Linked DNA regions of Saccharomyces cerevisiae S288C. The gene in region 1 interacts genetically with each later gene. Each region holds a gene or a part of one and is shown on either strand. Other genes may lie near its edges.

What was found.
Region 2: mutations in PAU11 (region 1) and MAY24 together harm fitness more than expected from each alone (negative genetic interaction), as found in Saccharomyces cerevisiae (2 studies listed by BioGRID).

Annotation. Positions count from the first base shown.
Region 1 is NC_001139.9:5,555-8,259, forward strand, and holds PAU11 (seripauperin PAU11), read right to left. Parts: upstream 1,099-2,705; coding exon 736-1,098; downstream 1-735. Other genes in the region: YGL262W (uncharacterized protein), read left to right, coding at 1-285; YGL260W (uncharacterized protein), read left to right, coding at 1,306-1,536.
Region 2 is NC_001148.4:831,757-835,005, forward strand, and holds MAY24 (May24p), read left to right. Parts: upstream 1-1,932; coding exon 1,933-1,937; intron 1,938-2,071; coding exon 2,072-2,489; downstream 2,490-3,249. Other genes in the region: URN1 (Urn1p), read right to left, coding at 305-1,702; PIN3 (Pin3p), read left to right, coding at 2,809-3,249.

The DNA.
Region 1 (2,705 bases):
GGGTGGAAATATTACTGGTCGGTAACTGATAATCCTGATCCAGGATATAAAGAGAATTACTCTGACATTGGAGATGAAAATGCTGTCCACGGTGAATTATATTTTAACACATATGGGGGGTTGATGGCTTCTGTAATGACAACAAAGATGGTGCTCAATGCGAAGAGACAGCTTGTGGTTATTGATACAATTGTGGTAAAGGCCATCTGCGATTATGTTATGAAATATTGGAAAAAAAAGGTTAACCTTACTACGATATCATTATATTTGATGTTAAAGTTATAAAGCCAGACATTTTCAATCTTTCTTTAAATCAATGAAAGAAGATGCGCAAATATTGAAAGCATTGACTACTAAGACTTAGGAAAAAGCTTCTGTTGACGATTTATAATGTTATATCAAATAATTAAATTTATTTCCTAGATTTTTGAATTGTGAGAGACATCCCTAGCATGATTTTTTTTCACATATACTTTCAATTTTAATAGAAATGGAGCCGTCAAATTTAACTTATTTTCTATTTTTATAATTGAAAATTTTATTTATTCATCTATTCTACATTTTATTTTGGTGTTGGGATTTTTTTCCGGCTTAAATATATGGTCAGATCTTTTATTTATATTACACTTATCTACAATTTGTATTTATATCATCAAAAAGAGCTTTTTATTTCTATATTTTATTTTTCGTTACTTACCAATGTCTATAGAATTTCGTTCGTAAAGGCGTTTGTCTCTAGTTTGCGATAGTGTAGATACCGTCCTTGGATAGAGCACTGGAGATGGCTGGCTTTAATCTGCTGGAGTACCATGGAACACCGGTGATCATTCTGGTCACTTGGTCTGGGGCAATACCAGTCAACATGGTGGTGAAGTCACCGTAGTTGAAAACGGCTTCAGCAACTTCAACTGGGTAGGTTTCCGTTGGGTGGGCGGCTTGGAACATGTAGTATTGAGCCAAGTGAGCTCTGATATCAGAGACGTAGACACCTAATTCAACCAAATTGACTCTTTCGTCAGACTGAGCTAGAGTGGTGGTTGCGGAAGCAGTAGCAGCGATGGCAGCGACACCAGCGGCGATTGAAGTTAATTTGACCATTGTATTTGTTTTGTTTTTTAGTGCTGGTATAAGCTTAACAGGAAAGAAAGAAATAAAGATATATTCTCAAAAGCATACAGTTGAAGCAGCTCTATTTATACCCGTTCCTCTATCAGTCATCACTACTTAAACGATTCGTTAACAGATGCTCATTTAGCACCTCACATATCCTCCATATCTCATCTTTCACACAATCTCATTATCACTATGGAGATGCTCTTGTTTCTGAACGAATCATACATCTTTCATAGACTTCGTATGTGGAGTATTGTATTATGGCACTCATGTGTATTCGTATGCGCAGAATGTGGGAATGCCAATTATAGGGTGCCGAGGTGCCTTATAAAACCCTTTTCTGTGCCTGTGACATTTCCTTTTTCGGTCAAAAAGAATATCCGAATTTTAGATTTGGACCCTCGTACAGAAGCTTATTGTTAAAGCCCATACTCAGTCTGTTCTAAACGGCTTCCATGCAAGAAATATTTCTATCTCTTGAATTCGTACAACATTAAACGTGTGTTGGGAGTCGTATACTGTTGGCGTCTGCAAATTTGTGAATTCTCCGCGAATGCCTTGGTGCAATTACGTAATTGTAGCCGCTGAAGGCGGATGGTTTTGAGAGAAGTTGATGTTCAAAGAATCGTGTATGATAAAAAAAAAAAATTGTAACCAATTCGTAAATACTGAAACTCTTTGCAGTAAGAAATCTTTCATTCCCAGAGAGAACGCGGAAATATTCAGCCTAAGTCTCTCCAAATTGATTTCTTTCATTTTGGTAGCGAAAGACTTAGTATCAACCTCAAAAAGCTGAAATTTTTGTAGATATATGTGCAGATGACATGAAGTATCCAGCTCTTTTGTGAATATGGAAGCAAGTTTCTTTCAAATTATTATCGACTTTTCCTCTGCCCCTTTTACCTTATAACTTTAGGAAACACTACCCTATTCATACTCAACTAAAAAAGTAGTACGTTTTCTTCTTTGAGAGGTATGGTGCAAACCAGTGCAATCTGATTCCAGATTGCCCTCACGTGAGGCTTCAGTAAATCTCGATCCCTCTACATATTATATTATCTCCTACTTGGCAAAATAGATGTGGCTTTAGTTGATGAAAATTTACCACGTCAACTATTTATGTCCTTTCTACAATAAACCCCGACCTACTATCCTCTATGTTGTTTTTAACATACCATACGAGCGTCATATGTCTTTTGGTTCACTGGGGAAGACCATCACTGTTGAACGTTTGTTGAAAAGTTCGAGATGATGAAGATTGCATAACAAAATGTAAAGTTATATTTAGAAACTATAACGGTTCAAGACATTCAACACTATAACATAGCTTGGCTGGCTTGAACAAAAAGAGGAAGAAGCAAAAGCAAGAGTAAAAAGCTTCTCATATATTTCTGGCATTGTTGATCACCCAGTGCAAGCCCAATTTCGCCTGTGCTTTTCTTAAATTGTTTCTGACAACACCGAGGTTTTCGCTGCAGAAAAGGACATATGGTGGTAATTTGTATAAGGGGTTAAGGGTCCAAAAATTTGCTACCCTATCGCTCACTATAGCAAAATATCTCGAGAGATATCCGAGGAGTTAAAACTGACTA
Region 2 (3,249 bases), on another chromosome or scaffold:
CTAAAATGTATACATGCAGACACACACTCAGAGGGAAAAAATAAATGTGCTATAAATAATGAAACACAAGAAACATCTAAAGTCCGAAAATTGCACCTGCTCTTATCATTCATTCTTATACAAAAGTGACTAGATATGATGGCGGATCCCGCAGCCCCAATCACTGGCAAAGAGCCTGAATACCGATAGGTACACTAAGCGTAAAGACCCTACCGTATTCTGGTTGCTATCACCACCCCACTTCCATCACGTCCATACCAGGTGCGTAAGCTTAATCACTCTTTGCTCCCCTGGTCTGCCCTTCCTATTCCGGATTTATCGGCTCGTTCCCCGCGCCCACTGGGGTAAACCGGCTTGATGGCCCGACCTCGGCGGCTAGCCACCGCACCCAGACCACGGTCTTCTCCAGAATGCCCACGACGTAGTAGCGTGGTTCCGTCACCACTATTGGGCTGACACAACACCTGTGCTCAATGCTCAGCAATATATCCTCTATACTACTACTGTCCGCGGGTGCTTTCAGAAGTGTTTGCCATCGGTCGATAAGCTCTTTGTCCTGACGCAGCGATTCGACTGCCCCCGTAAAGTCTCGTTCGTGATCCCGTAGGCAATCGCAGAAAATCTCTTTCCGCTGTTCCAAGTCGAACGTCTTATAATAAAACAGCAGTTGGGAAACGAATTTGTCTTGGTCGCGCTTCGACGGTATATACTCCTTGATTTTGTAGGCCTTGTATAACGCTTTTTGTTGTTTCCTTATATCTTGTGGGATGGTGTCGGGTGCGATTGTTCCCGCATTAGCAACAATTTGTGCCAGATAATGGTATTTTGTTGGTTCTAGTACTTCGCTATCGTCTTCGCTATTATCTTCGCTATCGCTTTCTTCAGCGGTGGCATTGCCACTGCGCTCGCCGCACCATTCTTCGAAAAGACTTTCACGAACTGTGTCATCTCTGATCTTGTAAAAATCAGGATCGTTTTCGATTTTCTTGCTTTGCAGCGACCACGTGGAAAACTTGTCTAGTTTATACCTATCGAATAATTCGAAGAAGATATTACGCTCGTCAATGTCATCTGTATCAATACGATTCAGATCATCGATAATGCTGATATCTTGATTTACAATTTGTTCTTCATTCTCTTCGTCTTCCTCTTCGTCTTCCTCTTCGTCTTCCTCCCCCGAAGATGAACCATACCCGCTGACTAGCCCAGTGTGGCTTTCCTGTAAAGGGGATTTTACGTCACCCGCCTCTTCGCTGATCTCATCTTTTCTCTCAACTTCGTCTTGATTTCTTTTAAATAGATGAATCTCTTCGTTGCAAGATTCGAGGATTTTATCAATGTCCTCCTCCCGCATAGTGTAACCTCTGGCAACGCCAATCAGAAGAACCAGTTTTTCCTTATCTAACGACTCGATTAATGAGCGACACCTGCTGTCGTCCTCTTGACTGATGTCATTTTTGAACTCCTTAGAGTCATCATTAAAGTAAAGTTTTGTACCATCGTTGTATATTATTAAGTGCCAACCATTAACCAGTTCTAATGAAAATGTTGGCTTCCTCTCTGTCTGTGATTCTTTCGCATTGCTTTCTAGGTTAGAGCCTTTCTTCAAATTAGGTTTTTCCCATCGAGACTGCTTCGTGTTCTTATTATAGTAATACTTTTTGCCTGCAGGTGTCTTAAATTCCTGCCATTCTCCACGCATGGCGATTCTGTGTTACTGAACTGTCTTTCTCTTTATAATACATATCAGAATCTCTTTCGGACACTATTTCCTCTTTCTTCAATTATATTGTTTTCTCTTTCATTGCCGAAGAAAAAAAGAAACATACTGAAAGTTGATAAATATGCAATAATAAAACCTTTTCCTACTCTTGACGCTTCTGTATAAGATAAAAACTGCCAACAAGATCAGTTCCAACTTCCTGCCGTATTATGAGGTATGTTATTCATTACCAAGACTATATCCGCCACGGCTGGATGCAGGCATCGCTCCCTGTGGCTTAAGAAAATAATAGGCACAAAACTAACAATAAAAACATCCACTACTCTGTCGCATGTTCCCTGTGCTCAGATCATTCGTAACAAATAACGATATACCTGTTGGATATGTAACGCCAAAATTCCCCTCATTATACTGGCCCATCAACAACTCGAAGTATAATACTGCATTCTTATACTATATATCTGACATTTGGAAATTTTCGCTGTACTGGACTTTGATCTTTAATGGTGCATTTTACGTTACTGCTGGTGTGTATGCTAGCTTGACCCATAGAAAGAAGGCTGGAAGTGTATGGATATTCGTCATGTACGTCTTATACGGAGGCGTTCAAGGCTTGACGACTGGTACAGTTATGGGGTTTTTAATAGGTGCGATCTATAGATCTGGTTTATTTTCTATGTCTACATGGGTCCCACTTTGTTGCGCAGTAGTCCAAATCCTTTTCGATGTGGTGCTAAGTTATTCCATGGTTGGTTCCGTTATGTGAAAGCTTCTGTCAAGAAAAAACAAGAAGGGGTTTACTGATTTGATGATAAAAGTTAGCAGCAACTTTTGAATGAGAATGTGCCATCCTTCACGTAAAGAGCCTAATACTCTTTCTTCAAAGCGCTAGATTGTTCTAAACGTTTCTTTAACTATTGTTTTCGTTCGTGCAGCGTGATTAACCGAGCCTCCTTCGAGGCGGGGATGGATATTGTAAGCTGCATATATAGTCGAACCTCAAATCGGTTGAGACAATAGGCAAAGTGCCCACATTGGCGCAAACACAAGAACATTAGGAAAGAAGGCAATCTGATATTTCAAAAATGTCTGCTTCATTGATTAATCGTTCCTTAACAAACATTAGGACAGAACTGGATTTTCTAAAAGGGTCAAATGTCATTTCAAATGACGTTTACGATCAAATAAATAAGAGCTTGCCGGCAAAATGGGATCCTGCCAATGCACCCCGCAACGCCAGTCCAGCTTCCTTGGAATATGTCGAAGCTCTTTATCAATTTGATCCTCAACAAGATGGTGATTTGGGCTTAAAACCAGGTGACAAGGTCCAACTTTTAGAAAAATTATCTCCAGAGTGGTACAAGGGTAGCTGTAATGGCCGTACCGGTATTTTCCCAGCAAACTATGTCAAGCCAGCTTTCTCTGGGTCTAACGGTCCATCCAATCTTCCACCACCTCCACAGTATAAAGCTCAAGAATTACAACAAATCCCCACGCAAAATAGTGCCGCATCATCTTATCAACAG